2 linked regions of the Pelodiscus sinensis genome follow. The protein of the gene in region 1 purifies or fractionates together with the protein of each later gene. This does not show direct contact. Links are inferred from orthologs where the notes say so. Each region holds a gene or a part of one and is shown in the gene's direction. Other genes may lie near its edges.

Region 1 (10,678 bases):
ACTTTCATTTTCAAAAGACCCACTTTCGAAAATGCAATCGGAAGAAGATAGGCAAATTAGCACCAAATTTGCATATCTCCTTTTGGGAAAAAAAAACTCCATAGTCTAGATGTGCCCAAAGTTAGGTTCCTAAAATTATATTTAGCCTTTAGAGTGCACTAGAATCACATTTGGAAGCTTACTCTACAGCCATGAGGTCAAGCATCTGATTTTTTTGTTCAGAAAGAAAGCTGAAATCATCACATACCCACTTGATTCTGGGAGCTGGGGATTTAAGGAAAACAATCATTATACTGAATCATGAGTTAGCAACACTGCTGGCCCACCCTGTCACAAGAACAGCACAAAGCAGAACTAGGACCTATTGATTGGTGATAAGCTCCACCTTGTGCATATAGGAGGCAGCCACTCTCAGAAATTCCAGTAATCAAGCTCATCAGATCATCCCCTGCAGTCTGGAAGCAGCAAGCTCAGCCCACCAGACAGAACTGCTTGAGAGAAACCCTGTGACCAATGCCAGAAGGGGCACTGATGATCTCTCGAGAGCTTTGTCCAGCTTAACAAAGGAGACACGGTAACATTCAAAAAGGTTTTACTTAATAGCAAAGGGAGAAGCAAAATTAATCAATACTCAGTCTTTTTTAAAAGGATAGGATAAAATATGCCATGGAGACAAGGATATATTCATCTATTGTTATTTGCATTATAAAGTGTAGGAGTCTCAAGCAGATACCGGGATCCCATGGTGTGAGGCACTGGAGAAAAACATAAGAACGGCCGTACTGGTCAGACCAAAAGTCCATGTAACCCAGCATCCTGTCTTCCAACAGTGGGCAATGCCAGATGCACTAGAGGGAGTAAACTGAACAGGGAATCATCAAATGACCCCTCCCTGTCACCAATTTCCAGCCTCTGACAGACAGAGGCAAGGGACACCATTCTTATACATCCTGGCTAATAAGTATTGACGGACCTAACCTCCATGATCTTGTTCTTTTTTGAGCCCTGTTAAAGTCCTGGTCTTCACAACATCCTCTGGCAAGGAATTCCACGGGTTGACTGTGAGTTGCGTGAAGAAATACTTCCTTTTGTTTGTTTAAAACCTGCTACCTATTAATTTCATTTGGTGACCCCCTAGTTCTTATGTTAAAACATTCACATAACAAAAAAGACAATCCCTGCTCCAAAGAAATTACAGGCAGTCCCCCGGGTTACATGGATCCGACTTACATCGGATCCCTACTTACAAACGGGATGAGGCAACCCCACACCAGCTGCTTCCCCCCAGCAGACCAGGGAGAAGCGAAGCTAGCACCCCCCTCCCCCCCGAGCAGACCAGGGAGACGCTGAGCGGCTTTTCTCAGCAGACACCTCAGCTTGAGAATAAAGGACTGAGGGAAGTGAGGTGTGGAAGAATAAAACTGAGCTCTGGAGAAATGTTTGGCTAGAGTTTCCCCTACAATATGTACCAGTTCTGACTTACATACAAATTTAACTTAAGAACAAACCTACAGTCCCTATCTTGTACGTAACCCGGGGACTGCCTGTATAGTCTAAGTAGGGCTAGAGACTTTGCTGGCTATACTGCCTCTGATCATGTGTAACACTCTTATGCATTAATTCCTCTCTTTTTTTTTTCCTGTTGTTTCATGAATGAACTATATACTGTATATAATTTAAAGTAGCTCTGAATTTTATTTATGAGGAGGAGGGATTTTTTCCGTGGAAAAATCCATTGGCCTGAAATTCAGGAAACCTGGCATCCAACTTACTCAAGCATGTTTTCTTTACTTGAATGGGGAAATTATTTGTAATATTTTCAATTGATGATCGGGTTCTGATTTCTACTATATTGACTGGGGGAAAACATTGAAAGACTTCTATGCACACATTTCAGCTAAGGATTGGTAAACTCAATTCAATTTTCTATGTTGTGCCAGTGGTTGCTCAAAATGGGAATTATCTGTGCTATATTTACACTTGAGAGTGTCTTGTAGAACTATATTCCTGGTCTATATCTCCAGGAATCTTTCCTGGCTTCTCCAAGTAGGCAATAGTTAAAGACTTGGTAAACTTCAGAAAGAGTGCTGTTCATTATGTAGAGCAAAATTTGCCCTGTGTGGAGAGGGCCTACACAAGCTCTATACCCCGTTTTTAAGTCTTCTAGCTAGAATTTCACTTATACTGCATATCCTCAGTAGCATCTTCACTTCTCACACTTGTGATTAATATTCCGCATGTAATGAAATGGGAACAAAAGTGGTGCCTTTTTAAAAATATCTTTCAGAACCCTTAGCTGACTACCATTTATTCTTCTGACAATGCAGTCTCTTCATTACAGATGCCTTCTTATTTTTTGTGTCAGATTGTGATCTTTCTCTGAAACTGTGTATGAGCACTGTCACACCTTCACCTGTCAGCTTTGGCTACACATTTTCAAGTCCCCTGCTTTCACATTCTAATGAACTTAGTACATTATGTTGCTTGTGAAATATTTTCCTGTAGACATAGCACATCTGTCGAGGTCACACTGATTTCCTGAGTCTTTGGACATCATTAAAAATTATTATTAATTGTATTTGAAAATTAAAATCTGTCATATTTGAAAAGCAATGACTTTGAAAATAGGTACTTTTTTACTTCATTTTCCTTCAGAGAGAGCAGAACTCTCATGAACATGTTAAAGAATCACCAAAGCTCTATCACATTATTATTTAAAACAATTGTTAATGTAAAAAGGAGTTAGAACATGTACATGAACCAATAATTTGCATTTTTACAGAAACAAAGGAATTACTGTATTGTGGATAAATATAAAGCTCATATGAAAAATTCAGGTATGTAACCCAAACATAACCTACATATAACTAGGTAATCTTGGAGTCAGTGGAATTAGGTGCCTAGGCAATTTGGAAATCCTACTTGGCATCCATCTAAACCTTTTGGGACATAAATACTTTTTAAAAATCTAGCCCCAGGTTATGATTCAGAAGGAAACTGTTTTGCTTGGTGAAGGTATGAAAACCGAGGAAACTAGATTAAAATGCTATGATGTAGGCCTCAATCCTACAAGTTTATAGGCACAGGCAGATCTGGAGTTCCCCTGAAGTCATTGGTGCTCTGTGTGGATGCAGCAGTCCACCTGCATATATATGAGTGCTCAGAAGCAGGGTACTAGAAGCTTTTTTTCATATGCAACACCTGCTTTTAGTAAAGTCCAATTTAATACCAATTTTATACCCTATTTTCAACCCATAATTGACTTTCACACGGAGGTCAAGTGACTTGCCCAATGTCACACAGTTAAATGATTTTTTTTTTTAGGTGAACCTGATGGCTTCTAGTCTTAGCCAGGAAACAATGTCACTCAAGAACTGATCAGAGAGAAATCAGGCTTCATTCTACAACTAGGATTTTGAGGATAAGATATGTGTTTGCATTGAACCCATATAAATATGCATGGTATATGAGGCTTTTCAGTCACAGAAGTGTGGTAAATAAAAACAAAAAGAAGCATCTTTTTCATTTTGATTTTTGTTCAGCAAGAGACAGCATCAGTTACAGAAACTCATTCTCCAAGGAACTCTAAAAAAAAATAAACTGATGTCCAGATTCTGATACTACATAGGTATATGTTGTTCTTTTACTTCACTTGAAGTTGCATTGAAGTGAAGTTTGACACAGATATGTTGTCAGGTATTATATGGGGTTTTTTTAGGGTCAAGTTTACTAAAGCTGGAATTATCCTACATGTGGTATTTTTTTTAGAGTCTGTATTGCGCAAACAGCCCTACATATGGTCAACTTACAGTTCATTACATTTAGGGTGTGCACTAAAAACATACTTAATGCTATTCATTTTGTATGAAACATTTTGCAAGCACCATTATGCTATAACTTGAATAAATCCAGTATAGTGCTTACTGTACTTAAATTTAGTAGCACATATGAACAATTAAGTATGTATAGTCAATTATGTTTTAACATAGTTCCACTGAATTGTTGAAATGGACATACGATAAGCAGATTTTGTTTTGGTTTTGGGTGAGAGAGAGATGGCGTCACAATTTGGGTTTCAAGCAGTGTTGATATTGTGAAACAGTATCTCAGCTGGCTGGGTGTAACTGAGACACAGTAATACCAATAAATACATGTGCCTTTTCAGCACTGTGATCTGTAGAAATCCTGATCTCCTGAGGATGGAATAAGTATTGTTGGATCATGGAGATAGTGATTTGCATAGTATTAAAACAGGCCCAATCATGTTTGCTCAAGTGTCTTGCTGGGACCAGTGTGCTTGTTTGCTCAAGTGTCTTGCTGGGACCAGTGCTTACTTCAGTGGGGCCAGGATTTATCTAAAAACTTAAAAGAAGGGGTCCTTCCTTTCAAACTTATGAAGGAAGCAGGGACAATGTGTCGGCTCTCCACTAAAGCATGCTAAAGTAAAACTAAGAAAGGGACTTGCTAAGGGAATTTAAATATCGTGAGGAGGGGAGGCTGATATTGACACATAAAGACTATCCCCCTTTTACAGAGTACAGCATTTCTCCCCAGTTATAGACAATCATACCATTTCCATTTTTTTCTCCAAGAACTGGATTTTAAAAGCTGTTAAAAAAACTGGAACACTTTGTAGACCAACTTTAGGGAAAAAAAACAATATTAGAAGATTTGTGATTTATATTATCTGGAAAGAAGGGAAAAACAAAGTATTAAGACAGTAACTGTGATTCCTTTTTATAAAATGGGAGGTCTTATAAACATCCATTGCTATCTTTTTCTACGTTCTTTCTGCCTCACCTTTTACTTGGAGGAGGAGAATAGAAAATATTCTTTGAGATGACTACCATATTCTGTGAAAGTAAACCTACACAAGTTTACTTGACCCAAATATCCACCAGGTTTACCAGTGCTCAGTTTCTTCAAATCAGATAAGATCAGGTGTGTTCAGAGTGATATGGCCATCAAGTTATGCTTTCACTTTTGATCTTTTTTTTTTTATAGCTTATAAACAGTTTTACAGACACTGAACATTAATAATGTTCTTATTCACCTAATAGGATCTTTTAAAGCAGCATATACCGTATGTGTTTTCCTTATTTAAAAAAAAAAATAAAAACAAGTGTTCAATGAAACAGGAAGCATCGCCTGGGAATTTTCACACAAAGAAAAGCTAATTGAACTACTCTTTCCATTCTGCATATTTACAAATGCTGTGTTATTGCTCAGTTCTCTCTGGAAAAATAAATATCTTAATAAATAGAGGCCTGCAAATCTGTGGATATCTGCTTGATATCCACAGGTGTAGCCGCAGCTTGTTTTTGCAGATATGGATGAAAATAAAAATTTAGTTTTCTAGAACCCTGCAAATTTGTGAATATCCACTTTATATCTGTGTCTATCCATCCTCCGCTCATTTTTGCGGATACAGATGTAGATACAAATTTTGTTTCTGCATAGGGCTTTATTGATAAGGTAGGGGTTTTTTTCAATTATTTTGTGCAGGTTTATGTGTTGTCCTATTTTTTTTTGTGTCTGGCTTGTTTCCTGACTTGTGACAACAGTCTCTTAATGCCTCTTCTGCTCTCAATATGAGTTTTCTTTTGGTATTGACATTGCTACTTTGAACTGAATTTTAATTCTCTCATGCATTTCTTTGTTATGGAGATCTTTTCCAGTTTGTTAATCTCTTCCCTTTCCACTTCTTTGCTTGCTTCATTTTTTCATCTTTTACTTTTACTTTTAAAAACCTTATCGGTGTGGTATGTGGCTCCTGGATCCAATGGCTCTTCATTTTCTCCTGTAATTGAAATTCTCTTTCCCTTTCCAACTGTGTTCCTAATATATCTATTTCTAGTGTTAGCATCTCCCTATTCACCTGGCTACATAGGTACCTATGAAAGAAAACAATAGAGTCCATTCCAAGGGCCTGATCGAGCATGGCCTGGGGTCAACAGAGGACTCCCCAGCTGGCCTTGGCTCTGTGCAGTACTTCCCTGGAACCTGCTCGGGGTGTTGGGGCAGTGTCTGGGTGAGCCTGGATTTAGTTGGGTAGTCCCTAGCTGAGCCTGGGCTCCCCTGCCCCTTTGAAAGGCACAGAGGCATTTCAAAGGGGGTAGCTGCTGCACAGCTGATCTGCAGACCAGCGGTGTAGTGGCACCATTGCACAGCTGGGCAGTGCTGTCACTTTGACGTACCCCTTCCTTTCCCCCTTCCCCCTTCGCTACCGCTCCGTTTGCTACCGCTAGCTGACTACTAGGCAAAAGGCTGTCCAATAAATTCTTATGGGGTAGTGGACTAGTCTTTAGCAGCCCGGGCTTGCTCTAGGTAAGGTCGCTAACCACGTGCCTGGCAGCAAAACCGCCCTCAGACCATCAACCACCCGAAGCAAGCGGGAGTGTAAAATTAAATATGTAAAAATCAACGTGTCCCCTGAAGGAGGCGCGCCCGGCACACGGGCCGGGCGGCTGCAGCCTGCTGCTCGCAAGGCCTGGCTGGCGGCACGCGGGCAAGCGAGTGTCCCAAACTGAACCTTCCCAGGTGTGACGCTCGCTTAGGGGCGGGGTTTCCAGTTAGGCTCCGCCTCGCCGTTCCTTGTACCCAGCGCGGGGAAGCGGCGAGAGAATGGGAAGGTAGTGACGCAATAAGTCTGCGGTTATCCCGGCTCAACTCCTCGCGCGAGCGCGGCCCCGCCTCCCTCTGTCGTAGCCGGCTCGCCGCACCTCGTGGGAGCCCAACCAGAGACGTGTTCGTTGCGCAGGCGCATTGGCTCCCTGCTGGAGTTCTTGCGAGAGTTGGAAGCCGGCTCGGTTGGTTCCTGGTTGGTGGGGAGCGCGCTGCGAAAGCCGGGGCGGCAGCAGTGACAGGGAGGGGGGAATCCCCTCGGCGCGGAGTCTGCGAGCGGCGCCCCCCCCCCCTTCTCTAGCCCGTCCCGCCCGCCGCTGCGTGCAGGGGTCGCTTCTTCTCCCCGCCCAACGGGCGCGGCGGGAGCGGGCTCCCGGCCCGGCATTGTCTGCGGGGCGCGCGCGCCGGGATCATGTCCGCCGGGCAGCAGGAGCCGCCGCCGGATGAGACCCTGTCCCCCGCCGGCACCGCCCCCTCCTCCGCAACCACCAGCAACGGCGGCGAGCTCGCGGGGGCGCCGCCTGTCGGCGCGAGTGACGCTGACATGGAGGTGAGGAGACCCCCCCCCCCCCAAACCCCGGGACCGGGCGTGAGCCGGGGGGGCGGGGGACGCTCTGGAGCTGGTGACGATGCTCCGGCCCCTCGCTCTCCGAGGCCCGCTCCGGGTTTTCCTGTCCCGCCCCGAGCGGCTCCCTCGGCACACGTGGGGTTCCTCTGTCCGACTCCCCCCGTTAGGGCCCGGGGTGGGGGGTGAGTTGAGTCTCCCCCCCCCCCCCCCGTCTGTCCGCAGAGCCGCGCAGTAACCGGTGGCCGAGCCCGCCACCACCCGTCGTGCTGTGCCACGAGGGCTGGGGCCGGCAGGCTGCGTGAGCCGCGTGGGGCAGAGACAATAGAGCGGGCGGGCGGATGAGGAGCCTTCAGCGGCGCGTGTGAATGGAGCGGAGCCGAGCTGAGCCGCCTCCCCTGTACAGCGTGTGCGCCTCGTCTCTCTCTCTTTGGTTCATGAATGAATTGGGGGCGGTCAGGAAACGGGAGTCGCGTCTCGTTGTGTCTAGGGGCTGTGGGAGTCTCCGCGATGCTGGGAAGCGGGTAGCAGCTGTTACGTCGGCTTCCCACCCCTTCAGCAGAAAGTAGGTTCTTCTCTCTTTGTCACATACGCACCCTCTTCCCGTTGTTTGTTTTCTGTTCACGGCTCTGCCTGTCACTTCGGTGGGCGCTGTGTACCTCAATATATGCAAACAAGAGGTTCCTTCCCCTTTATGAACGATGTACCACAGACTGCTACGAGAAAAAGAACACAAAGAAACATTGACGGCTGCTCTCTGACTGATAGACAATGAAAACAATCTGAAATTGGATTTTTGAAGGCAAGCTGGAATAGTCACAGGTTTCCCAAATGTGGCCAACTCTCCTTTCTGTGTTCTGTTTTATTCCAGGAGTATCTAGCTAGAAATTTATTTTTCCTTTTTTCCCCCAGGAAGTTCTTTTTGTAGTGCAGCTGTAACTGTTGAATTAATTCTTCTATTCTTTCTAAGTGAGCTTCCCAGCAAAGATTTATGTTTAGCTGTGCTTTCTCTTTAAGTTATGAAAAAAACAGAGTACATCTGGCAACATTTTATAAAGCAGTGGTATCATCTGTTGTTTGAAATGTCTTATTTTGGCAACAGGTGCCTAATTCAGAAATGTCAGGGGGTTAGGAGAACCTGGGATTTGAACTAATGCCTAGAGATGATTGTTTTGTAACAGCATTTGTTTCTTTAGCCATACATGGAAACTAGTTTGTCTGCTTTTTATTGATGAATATTTCATGTTCTGAATCATTCTTTACAACCAACCTACTTAATCTGACTAGTTTGCAAATTCCATTTTCTTAGAGTAGCTCCTTCAGATGAACAAATAACTAAAACATTGTGGGTAATAAATCCTATTTAAAAACATAAAAGCTAAGCTGGAAGCTATTAAACAAGGATTTTTATATGTTTTTTGTCTCTTGTAAAGTTATAGTTCTCAAGAAGAAACCAAACCACTTTCAATGTTTATTTAAAATATTTCTTCATGTAGTTGTATCTCTTTTAAACTGGATTGGAAAGTTTCCTTATGAAGATTTATAAGTGCTTTGCCTCCTTCCTCTGGAATATTGCTTTACATTGATTCAGAAGGAAAGATTGTTAGCTATTGTTACCAGATTTGGTCCTTTCCTTCCTCCCTCCTCTCCCCCCCCCCCCCCTCCCGAGATGGCTTACTTAACTAGCCAAGACCCAGCCATAACCCAACCCCCCTTCCTCCTTTCTGTATGAAGAGCTATTAGGATCTTGTCTGCACTGGCTTTTTTTAAAATCTCCTACTATTAAACTACTATTGCTACGTCTCAGAGGGATAGCCATCATAAAGTTAGGAATAAAGACACTACCTGGCTAGCATACTACCTTCCATGTTCTAATGACTTAAAAAAACCAAACAATGGGTACTTAAGATCAATTTCCTCCTTCCCTATCAGCTTCATGTAATGTGTACACTCTAATACTACTTTCCCTCTTTTTCACTTCCTTCTCTGCCCCTCCCCCCATTTATTTTGGAACTGGACCTTTAATAACTATTCATCTGAAGAAGTGGCTTGTGCACATGACAGCTCATGATGCCATCTACATGTTTTGTTGGTCTTTAAGGTGCTTCTAGACTATTTGTTGTTTTTTAAGTTTTTCCAGAGATAGTCGTTAGTCTGTATCTGCCAAAATAGTGAGGAGTCCTGTTGCACCTTTACTTGCATTTGATTAAATGGATTTTTGCCCACAAAGACTTATGCCCAAACAAATTCTTTATGGTGCCACATGATTTCTCATTGTTTTTACTACTATAGATTTAACTCTTCTGTTAGTAATAATGGTGAGAAAGCTAATGTAGGTTAGCTGTTGGTGTTCTTAAGATTAGTGGATATATGGTGATAAAAATTTTGGTGGACAGGCAATGTTGCTGACCAGTAGTAGGAAACCTAGTTTAAGGGAAAATGCTAATATAGATACATCTTATGAAGGTATGAAGAGCAATGACACTTTGTTCTTTGGATAGAAACTATAGCTTCCATATTGAGAGAGACATACCATAATTAGGTATTGAAATTAGGAAATCTTCATTTGAGAATTTTTGTTCATACAGTTCCTTCTTCTATAAATGAGGCTCAACATCATAGAGTGAAACAAATGTTACACTTTTCAAAAGAGGAAGAAAGAACAGCTGATGAGTTTACAAAGAAGATCAAGAATGATTTGAGTTCATATTTAGTTGAAGTGTTCAATGGTGTCTTGACTATTTTATGTATGCCTAGTTTCAAAATCTTACCGAAATGTTAAAGTGGAAAATGCTTGTGTTAAATTCAGTCTACAGTTGTTGCCCATTGTCTTTTGAAGTTGTACAACTTAGGGATATTAAAGACTAATTGATCTCCCTCCTGTCCCCCCTGCTGCCTCTGTTAAATAGAGGCAGCAAAGGGAGGTGGGGGGTGGAAAGCGGCACTTGAAAGCGGCAGCACCGCACAGCTGAGCCCAAGATCAGCTGTGTGGCGCTGCTGTTTTGAAATGCCAAGGCTCCTCAGCTGACCGCAGGTTCCTTGGAAATGCTGCACTGGAGCACAGGATCAGCTGGGGAGTCCCCAGATGACACCAGGCTCCATGTGCGCAGCGGCTGCACAGCTGATCCCTGGCTCAGCTGTGTGGCACTGCACATGGAGCCCGGGGTCAGCTGGGGACTCCCCAGTTGATCCTGTGCTCCAGTGCAGCATTTCCGTAGAACCTGGAATCAGCTGGGGACTCCCTAGCTGACTCTGGCTCCATGTTGTGCTGCCTCTGTGAAATGCACAAGAGCCCCCGCTAGGTACTCTTGTACATTTCAAAGCTGACACCTTGTGCAGCCCGGAGTCTGCAGGACTTCTTGCTGGCCCCGGGCTGCATGCGGAAGTGCCTATTGAGTAGTTGATGGAAATTCTTAATCTGACTAGTCTGAAATTCCATCAACTACTCAATTAGTCAGTGAACTGCTAGTTAACACCCTTAGTGTAACT
Region 2 (10,785 bases), on another chromosome or scaffold:
TTGCAGAAAAGCGTCCGTGGCCAATCTAGACGCGGTTTTCCGCAAAAAAGCCCCGATCGCCATTTTCGCGATCAGGGCTTTTTTGCAGAAAACACTACTGTGCTGTCTACACTGGCCCTTTTGCGCAAAAGTCTTTCGGAAAAAGACTTTTGCCCGAACGGGAGCAGCATAGTATTTCCGGAAAAGCACTGATGATTTTACAGGAGATCGTCAGTGCTTTTCCGGAAATTCAAGCAGCCAGTGTAGATAGCTGGCAAGTTTTTCCGCAAAATCAGATGATTTTGCGGAAAACCTTGCCAGTCTAGACACAGCCCTCCTGTGTCCCTGCATCTCCCAGAACGGGGTGTGGCAGGGCACAGTGAGGAGGCTCCCAGCTGTTCCTGTCCCAAACTGGATCAGCCAGAGGTGGGGCAGGGAAAAGGGCAGGATCACGGCTGTGGGGCAGGGCAGAGCGACACCTCTCCCAGCATTGGGCTGTGTCCACTGCACCCTGATTCGGTCGTCCCTAACTCAGGGCCATGTGTTCTGACCGCAGGGATGACTAATCCGGAAGTGATACAGAACTTGGAGCGTGGCTACCGAATGCCTCAGCCTGACAACTGCCCGGAGGAGCTGTATGGACTGATGCTGCACTGCTGGAAGGAGAACCCAGAGGAGCGCCCCACCTTTGAGTACATGAAGAGCGTTCTCGAGGACTTTTTTACGGCCACAGAGGGCCAGTACCAGCAGCAGCCATGAGGGGACCCTGAGCAAGGGGCTGGCAGCATCCTCACTTTGGGATGTAAGGGAGGGTGGGGGGGGGGAACGGTCCGGGTGCATGAGCTCCTCAAAGACTCACACAGCTCAGCCCTGGGCTTTCGGATCAGAGCTTAAACCTGGCAGAACCCTCACGACAGTGAAGATGTGTCCATGTTCCTGCAGCACCCACACACGCGTGGCAGATCCGTCTTGATTCTCAGAGCCGGGGCGCCGTGTGTCTCACGCACGCCGGCAAAAGAACTGCACGGCCCTGAGGGCTGCCAGGTTTCACCCACAGGCTGGAGCGCCCAGGCAAACTCCGCGGGCACACGTGTCTGCTCACAGCGCTGCCCGGGGGCTCACGCCATGCACACGCACCCCACAGGGGTGTGCACCCGGGCAGGAATCACAGAAACGGGCAGCTATGCAGATGCACACAAAGGCTTAGGCGTGGGGGCGCACCCCCTTGCCCCCCTCCCGCTGCAGACACATGGGGACATGCCGTGCACGTCCAGCTGAGAGCTGCCCTGGATACAATCAGACCCATAGCAACTAAAATAACAGTTTTGCGCCAGCATGAGACAGACGCCAAGTTCTCTCTCCTCGGGCATCGGGGAACACTCAGGACCCGCCACCGATTGCACTGGAACTAAAAACCCCTTCTCAGCACTGATCTTCTGGAGGGAGAGACTCAGAGAGCTGCGGTGTGGAGCACCCCACGCCCCGCCCTCCCATCCCTCCCCTGTGTTCCCAATGCTGTATTCCCCCAGGGAAGATGGATGGATTAATCAGGGTCAAGGGGTTTTGCATGGAGCTGCCAGCCTTGGAACTGGGACCTGCTCACGCTCAGGGCTGTGATCAAAGCGTACAAATCGATGGACTCCCCCACTGTGCAACATAACCCTCTTTGCGCCAGAGCCAGACGGTCTCCGGGACACCCCCGAACACGACCCAGTGCCCACGAAGCTGCTGCTCCCTGCCCTGCGCTCTTGCTGATTTTCACTGTGAAACCACATGACTCTGAACAATGCCTGTCACGCGATGGGGTGTGCGAACAGAAAATAAGCACGGCCAAACTGGGTCAGATCAAAGGTCCATCTAGCCCAGCATCCTGTTTGCCGACTGGGGCCAACGCCAGGTATGAACCAGAGGGAATGAACAGAACAGAGAATCAGCAAGTGATCCCTCTCCTGTCGCCCATTCCCAGCCTGACAGAGGCTAGGGACACCATCCCTGCCCACCCTGGCTAATCGCCATTGATGGACCCAGTGCTTTTTTTGTTTTAAAAAAAAGGTGCTGGTACTACAGGGGAAAAGTTGTTGAGCTCTGACTAGAGGGGCCGGTACTGCGTCTGGAGGTGCCAGTACTGCATGGCAGTACCATCCCCAAAAAAGCATTGGCTGGACCTATATACTCCATGAATTTATCTAGCTCTTTTTGGAATCCTGTTAAAGTCCTGGCCTTCCCAACATCCTCTGGCAAGGAGTTCCACAGGTTGACTGTGCGTTGTGTGAAGTATTATGTAAGAACGGCCAGACTAGATCAGACCAAAAGTCCATCTAGACCAGGATCCTGTCTTCTGACAGTGGCCAGTGCCAGACACCCAGCAGGAGTGAATAGAACGGAGTCATCAAGTGCTTTCTCCATCACTCATTCCCAGTTTCTGACAGAGACTCGTGACATCATCTCTGCCCATCCCATTCTCCATGAATTTATCTAGTTCTTTTTTGAACTTCCTTTTGTTTGTTTTAAACCTGCTACCTATTCCTTTCATTTGGCGACTGCTAGTTCTTATGGTATGGGCACAAGTCAATCACTTTTCCCAGAGCCCTTCCAAACGTTTGGTAAAACCGCCACCAAGTGCAACCATTGTAGCCAAGGGAGAGAGGAGCAAACCAGCAGGCGGAGAAGGAGACATTTCAGCTCAGACTGCAGCTGACCTGATGAGTCAGGGAGTGTGGAGAGGTAGAGGAGGCTGTTTCACCTGGCAGGAGCTGCAGAGGTGAAATCTCTTCTGTTTTCTCCGCACCGTTGACCGTGACATTAGTGCCCTGAAAAGGGGATCGAGACAGGCTCAAACCACAACATTTAGCTCCAGAAGGGGGGCTCAGAATTCGACCCCAGGCTGGGCTGGCAGGTGGTGGCTCTAGAGTGGACCCACACCTACCCTCGGGGGTTCTACATAGTCCCCCAAAAAGGCTTGTGGGAGAGAAACCTTCTCAAGTCCCTGGAACGAGCCTCTCTGAATGACCAGCCTGTGAGGACTCTGATCCCCCCCCTGCCCTTGTATTTTAAAGCCCTGTCTTGTGTTGCTCTTTGATTTTCAGTAAACAAACACCTTTCGGTAAACGGCACCCGTGTCCTCCACTTGAGGGGGTGGGAGGGGGCGAGCTTGACATTGGGTGTATACAGAGGTGGAGGGGGGGCTCCTGGCTCTCCTTGAAGATGCCGAGCGGCAGAGGAGTGGCCCCTCTCTTCTGCCGCGGGGGCCAGTCGTGCAAGACCGTTCCAGTGCCGCGCGGGCGGGATCCGAGCCCCGGGCGTGGGTGGATTTATTTGTGTGGGGTGGGTGGCTCAGCACGACACAGAATCAGGCCCGAAGCAGGGCGATGGCTGACCGCAGGGAGCTGTGTGTGCTCACAACCTCACAGGGGGAGCCCAACCGGGCCAGGCCCCGAGTCAGGCCCAGTGGGATGGGAGTGAGGGCGCTGGGCGGGGGTGGGGGCCTGAGGAAGCATTCGGCAGAGGGCGAGGGGCACACTTGGCACTAGCTGGGGACGGGCAGGGGGCTCAGTTGGGACAAACTTAACACCTAGCAGGGTGAGAGGGGGGACTTCAGACAGTGCCCAGTAAGGGGTTGCTGGTGTCACAATTTCTGGCAACCTCCGCCAGTAGTCACCCTGTGTGATCTATTTTAGGCTTCAGGCTACCAATTATCACCTCTCTATGGTGGAGACCTGCATCTCATCCCTTCCTGTCCAGGGATTTTAAACTACACTGCTCCCTGGCTTACATATTCCCAGCAAGCCAGGCTGCCTAGCAGGCCAGCACACTATGCTTTGCTTTCTCTCTAGGAACTAGGCCCAGTGTATTGCCTAGAGGTGTAGGTAGGTTATCACCCAGTTCTGGCTAAGCCAGCACATTTATTCTTAAGGTAAAAGCACTACAGTACAGCAAAAACACATTAATAAAAGAAGCTATGTGCAAGCTAGAAAGTCTGCTAGAGGTCACCCCCTCCCACTCCAGCCTAAGGCTCTGGCAGGAGTCTGTCCTTCAAAATCCACAACTGAATGTTTCCTGCAGTTACAAGTTCATGTCCAGAGATCCAGAACTGGAACCTAGGCTGGGCTGATCAGCTGTGTCTGTATGCTGCGCTCACCTTTGCGCTTGGCCCTCTGTAACAGGTCAATCCACAGACACTTACCCTTTCCTCAGAGGCTACGTCTACATTGGCAAGATTTTGCGCAAATAATTTTAACACAAGAGTTTTTACGTTAAAGTATTTGCGCAAGACAGCGTCTACACTGGCATGTGCCATTGCGCAAGAGATTTGCAAAAGCATCCATGCCAGTGTAGACGCTCTCGCGCAAGAAAGCTCCGATGGCCATTTTAGCCATCAGGCTTTCTTGCGCAAGAAATTCATGTTGCCTGTCTACACTGGCCTCTTGCTCAAGAACAGTTGCGCAAGAGGGGTTATTCCTGAGCAGGAGCGTCATAGTTCTTGCGCAAGAAGCGCTGATTTCACACATTAGAATGTCAGTGTTCTTGCGCAAGAACTCCCTGCCAGTGTAGACAGACAGAATGTTTTTGTGCAAAAGCGGGTGTTTTTGTGCAAAATCATGCCAATGTAGACACAATCAGGGTGTAAAAGGCTGTTTTTTGCATAACAAGGATTGGGGAATTTGTATTAAGCTTTCCCTAGGGATTCCCAGGAAACCCACTTAACACATATTGTCTCCACAATTCATGTTTGTTCAGCTCATTTTCAATATCGTCTTTTGAACTCCCAAGTGTCACATTTCTCTCTCTCTCACACACACACACACACACACACACACACTGAAACATATTTTGGGGGGATTAACAAAAAAGTCTTGCAAGGGTATAGCACAACTGGCATGTGGCAGAAGCTGTGGTGACACTGGTCAGTCCCTAGGTGAAAGAGCTGGGTTGTGACATGAACAAATAGCTGCCTCATTTGCACAGACTAAGGTGAGGACAGCAAGTGTGAAAAATCAGCTCACTTTTTTCCACGGGTGCAGGGGATTGTGTATTATTGAAGCATCTGGTGGCGATGGTGGTCCCCTGAATGCATCCCCCCACCAATGTTCCCTCTAATCTTTCCCATCCATGTGTGGATTTTTTCCATTCATGTGTGGAATACATTTTATGTGCATCACCAGTAGAAACAAAACAACTAGATCTGGGTGCTCTGCTAATCAGCTGGGCAGCACTGGAATCTCTCCAGAACAGCTGCGCAACTGCCCATCTTACAGAGACCACTGCCCCCCATGACCCCAGCCCTACCCCCACCTGGGGCAGACATAATGTCCCCTCCCCTACAGTCATGCTGGCCCCAGTGCATTCTGGGACTTCTGCTACCTCCAGCCCATTGCAACCAGGCCTATGGACATGCCTGGCCCCTGGGCGGTGCACTGTGGGCTGGCCCTAGCAAGGGACTAGAATCTAGATGGGAATGTCTTGTGCAGCCATGTGGCACGTGATGTCATAGCAGCAGGGGTCAAGTGGTTTAGTCCTTGCTGCCCAGACCACCCCTCTTGTGAGAATAGGTCAGTCCTTTCAGCCCAGATTCCTCTCCTGGGGGAATGATACATTTCTGTCTGAACTCCCCTCCCATTCTCTGAGGAATGGTACTTTTCCTTTATCTCTCTCCCCCTCTCCCCTCCACCAGTGGTAAACTCCTGTCTGTTTAGACCCCCCCTTCTCCGGGAGTGGTGCCGTCCTGCCAACCCGTTTGTCTTTTTCTCCCCCTTCTCTAGAGTGGTACAGTCCAGGAACACTTGCGCTCTACCTACCGTGCTAATGCCGCCACCCCGACCTACGTCACTTCTCATTGGCTATTCCTCAGGAAGTGGGTACAAGCCACTCCCCGATAGGCCGGCTGCCCCGCGCGGGGGCGGGAGGAGCAGCTCGCGGGGTGCTTGGCCCCCGGGGCGCGTTCGGTTGCGCTGCGGGAGGGTTTGGTGCGCTCGGGCGGCAGGAAAATGGCGCTGACACAGGGGACCAAGCGGAAAGTCTGTTACTACTATGACGGTGAGAGCCCCGGGCCGGGCCCCGCGGGGAGACACGGGGATGGGGGGCGCTGTGGGGGGAGGGGCGAGGATGGGGGCGCTGTGGGGGGAGGGGCGAGGATGGGGGCGCTGTGGGGGGAGGGGCTCGTGGGGGAGGGGTGGGGATGGGGAGCGCTGTGGGGGGAGGGGTGGGGATGGGGGGCTCTGGGGAAGGGCTCGTGGGGGGAGGGGCGAGGATGGGGGCGCTGGGGAAGGGCTCGTGGGGGAAGGGGCGAGGATGGGGGGTGCTGGGGAAGGGCTCGTGGGGGGAGGGGCGGGGATGGGGGGTGCTGGGGAAGGGCTCGTGGGGGGAGGGGCAAGGATGGGGGTGCTGGGGAAGGGCTCGTGGGGGGAGGGGCGGGGATGGGGGGCGCTGGGGAAGGGCTTGTGGGGGGAGGGGCGGGGATGGGGGGCGCTGGGGAAGGGCTTGTGAGGGGAGGGGTGAGGATGGGGGGCTTTGGGGAAAGGCTTGAAGAGGGAAGGGTTAGATGGGGGGGTGCTGGGGAGGGGCATTGGGGAAGGGCCAGGAGAGAGGTTAGGGATGAAGAGGGTGCTGAGGAAGGGTCTAGAGGGGTGAGGATGGGTGCATACTGGGGAAGGATCTGGGGTTCTGGGGAAGGGTAAAGAGGGAGTGTTGGGAAAGGGCCTACAGTGAGGGGAAGATGAGGCAAGGAGGGGTGCTGGGGCAGGGCCTGGGATGGGGGCAAGGAAGAGGAAAGGAGGGTGTGGGAGAAGGCTCACCAGGGGGTGAGGATGAGATGCTGAAGTGCCCTAGGCTGCTGGAGAAGGGTCTGTGGGGAGGTGTTAAGATACTTTTGAATACTTTCGGATCTATACTGGTAATATCAGTCAGCACAGTTGCTTTTTTTTTAGTTGGTGAGATTCTGTGGCCAGGGTTATTGTGTAGGCATTAGGTATGGCGGGCAGTGTTTTGTGTGTGTGTTCATTCCATGACATTTCCCCAAAAGTTGGGTGTTACCCTGGTTGGAATTTGGCCAGGGCAACAGGGCTAATTCAGTGGGAGAATTGGCAATTGCTTCCTCTTATTGTGGGGCTAGGAGGTATTTGTAGCGATCATTCAGGCATCTTAGTATGGTTTATTTAAGTGTTCTGCTCCATCAAATATATATCGGGGCTTTTATTTCTTCAATACAGTACTTGCAACATTAGGCCCTGGTTCCAAAATGAGATCCACTCCTGCCTGGGCACAATGCCCTACTGATTTCAGTGGAGTGCTAGATGGGGGTCAGCCCTGGCAAAACTTGTTGCTGTCTTTGGTTCGGCCAGTTACCATTATACCACAAGTCTGACTTCTCTTGTCACCAACAGCTGATCTGTGCGCTTGAGGCATGTTAGACATAAAATCAAAATATTTGTGACCCACATTAATGCCCCAAGGTTAAACTTTGTGCATCCTTCAGGGTTCCTGGAAATACAGGTTTCTGGTGGTGATATTTGTGGGAATGCTGTACCTGTCTGAGTGATTGTCAGATGGTGAATGAAAGCTCTGTCTGGGGTTCTCATTGCCCCTTCAGATGCACAATATTTGCACATGTATTCACACACAGGTGATGAACTAGGGTTTTGTCATCATGGACACAAAGGTGACATTTGTGTTGGTTTTTATTCATTTTGGTTTTTACACCATGATGATAACATGGCCTTAGTTACAGCATTGTAAAATACAACGTGGTGATGAGGCATTTGTAATTTTATCACAAGGTAGTGAGGGAAAGTGAGTGTTATAGCTCCTCACCACCTGCTCATGCTTAACCTAACAATAAAACTGTGGTGCTTGGTTTCCACCTGTTTGGTTCAGCAGGATAGGTAATGCTTGGAGGTCAGTAAATATAAAGACTAGCATGCTGGTAGAGTACAGTTTGTAATAGCGTTTTAGGGGATGTCTACGTAGTGTTTAAAAAAAAAAAAGTCTCTTGACTTAGGTTGTTTGGATTAAAATAGCAGTGAAGACCTGGCAACTCAGGTTAATAGCTCAAGTCCAGCTCCAGACTCTCTGTAGACTTTAACTTGAGCCCATAACACAATATAAAAGCAGAGTTGCTATGTCTTGACTGCTATTTTAACCCGGGGCATGACAAGTAACCCAAATTAAGAACACACCTTTTCTGCAGTGTAGACATGCTCTTAGAGGACACCGAATTCCCACTGCTTATGAAAAGAAATGGTAAATAACTTGGTTTAGCAAAATAGACTTCAAGATAGACTGGCCAGTTCAAACCACTTGTAAGTTGCACGTGACCAAGTTGCAAGTTTCCTGGACTGTTATTAATGTGGTGTTTAAATATTGCTCTCTACCATATGTTCCCTAGCTAGTCCCTAAAGTAACATAGGACTCCTTGTTATTTTAGCATCTTCCAAGTCTTTTGGGACTTGTTAATGCTTGGAATTAACCTAATTCTCAGTGTTGGTACCACTGCATCAGCATTAAGTTCTATTGTAGACAAGGAAGGCCGCGGTCTCCCCCAGTTTCAAGCAGATTAAAACTGCACCAATGCAAATTGTGATTTTTCTCTGTCTACACAAGGAGAAATGTAGCGAAGGCTTCAGTCTTTGCAGGGGCAGTGAAAATTACTCCTGAATGTTGAGATCCATGATGAAACATTATATACTCCCAACTGAGTCACTGCTAGGCCAGATTGCCTCTCTTACTACTTAGGGTGGTTTGGGGTTGTGAAACTACTTGACTCTTATTTTTTGTCATTGTTGAGTGTGAATCACCTATAGGATAGGCCTGGATGCACAGGAAAGCACTGATATACAAAATCTTATTTTATGATCCCAATTATTTTAGTTCATCTTCACAGTGCATTGCAGGCATTAACTGTGTTCGCGCCATGTGCACCGGTGAGATAGGAAACAGGAAGCATTGCCATTTTACAGATAACGAAGGTGAGGCAGATCTCTAAGGCTATGTCTACACTCACGGCTTCTTGCGCAAGAACATCTTGCGCAAGGGTTCTTGTGCAAGAAGACTTCCACACTGCCATGTGTGAGCTGTGCTTTTGCGCAAGAGCGCCCATGGCAGTGTGGACACTCTTTTGCGCAAGAAAGCTCTGATGGCCATTTTAGCCCTAGGGCTTTCTTGCGCAAGAAATCCCTGCCGAGCGTCCACACTGCCCTCTTGCGCAAGAGGGCTTACACCTGTTATAAAAGAGCGTAGCTCTTGCGCAAGAAGCCCTCTCTTACCACGCCGTACTGTAGATTTCCTTGCGTAAGAGCGGGCGGGCAGTGTGGACGCTCTGCGGATTCTTGCGCAAGAACGTCCATACTTGCGTAAGAAGCCGCAAGTGTAGACATAGCCTAAGTGATTTGCCTGAGGCTCTTAGGCGGCTGAAGAAATTGAGAGTTCCTGCCTCCAGTCCAGTGCTGAGGCTACACAGCAGAGTTTCTCAAGGAGACTTGTATCTTCATTAGCACAAGATCACCCTAGAGAAGATTTCTAATATTGGGAGATGATGCCATTAAAGGACAACTACAATAAACTTCCGATAATCCGGCACCTTTAGGACCCAGGAGGTGCCGGATTATCAGATATGCCGGACTATCAGAAGGAGGGGCTATGAGGGGTCTGGAGTGGGGTGGGAGGGGATGCCACCCCAGACCCTTCATAGCCCCCCCTCACGATAGTCTGGCTCTACCCCAGGCGTCCCTGATTCAGCCGCTGCTGGTCAGTTTCAGCAGCAGCTGAATCGGGGATGCCTGCAATAGAGCAGCTGGGGTGCTGCCGGGTTGGTCCCGCAGCGCCGAGGGGTGGTGCTGCAGCGCCGAGGGGTGGCGCTACAGCACCAACCCGGCAGCACCCCAGCTGCTCTTGGGGACACCTGGGGCAGAGCAGCTGGAGTGCTGCCGGGTTGGTCCTGCAGCGCCAAAGGACGGCGCTGCCGGACCAACCCGGCAGGACCCCAGCTGCTCTGCCCCAGGGATCCCCAATTTAGCTGCTGCTGAAACAGATCAGCGGCTGATTCCAGGAAGCCCGGGGCAGAGCTGCTCTGCCCCGGGCTTCCTGGAATCAGCCGCTGATCTGTTTCAGCAGCGGCTGACTTGGGGACCCCTGGGGCAGAGCAGCTGGGGTCCTGCCGGGTTGGTCCGGCAGCGCCGAGGGGCGGCGCTACGGGACCAACCGGGCAGTTCTGCCCCAGGCATCTGGATTCAGCCTGCTGGTGAAACTGACGCTGCTGGTCAGTTTCAGTAGCAGCTGAATCCTGATGCCTGGGGCAAAGCAGCTGGGGTGCTGCTGGGTTGGTCCCGTAGCTCCGCCCCTCGGCGCTGCGGGACCAACCCGGCAGCACCCCAGCTGCTCTTCCCCAGGGGTCCCCGAGTCAGCCGCTGCTGAAACAGATCAGCAGCTGATTCCAGGAAGCCCCGGGCAGAGCAGCTCTGCCCAGGGCTTCCTGGAATCAGCCGCTGATCTGTTTCAGCAGCAGCTAAATCGGGGATCTCTGGGGCAGAGCAGCTGGGGTCCTGCCGGGTTGGTCCTGCAGCGCCGTCCTTTGGTACTGCGGGACCAACCCGGCAGCACCCCAGCTGCTCTGCTCCCGGCTTCCCCGATTCAGCTGCTGGTCAGTTTCAGCAGCAGCTGAATGGGGGAAGCCTGTTTGGCTGCCCCAGCGCTTCCGGGTTCCTGATGATGCCGGACCATCAGGAGTCCTGGAGCATTGGATGCCGGACTAATGGAGTTTTACTGTACATGTATTGCCTGTTCATGCTGCTCTTGGCCCTACAGAAGCTACAGCTT

The links.
Region 2: the proteins of SMARCA5 (region 1) and HDAC1 fractionate together in Homo sapiens (co-fractionation; 3 studies listed by BioGRID). This does not show direct contact. The link is inferred for Pelodiscus sinensis from reciprocal best matches to the Homo sapiens genes SMARCA5 and HDAC1.

The regions. Positions count from the first base shown.
Region 1 is NC_134715.1:41,841,461-41,852,138, reverse strand, and holds the start of SMARCA5 (SWI/SNF-related matrix-associated actin-dependent regulator of chromatin subfamily A member 5), read left to right. Parts: upstream 1-6,766; 5' UTR 6,767-7,036; coding exon 7,037-7,174; intron 7,175-7,585; exon of another isoform or gene 7,586-7,754; intron 7,755-10,678. UniProt on the Homo sapiens protein: ATPase that possesses intrinsic ATP-dependent nucleosome-remodeling activity.
Region 2 is NC_134735.1:3,686,314-3,697,098, forward strand, and holds the start of HDAC1 (histone deacetylase 1), read left to right. Parts: upstream 1-5,850; 5' UTR 5,851-5,963; coding exon 5,964-6,012; intron 6,013-10,785. Other genes in the region: tyrosine-protein kinase Lck, read left to right, coding at 536-738. UniProt on the Homo sapiens protein: Histone deacetylase that catalyzes the deacetylation of lysine residues on the N-terminal part of the core histones (H2A, H2B, H3 and H4).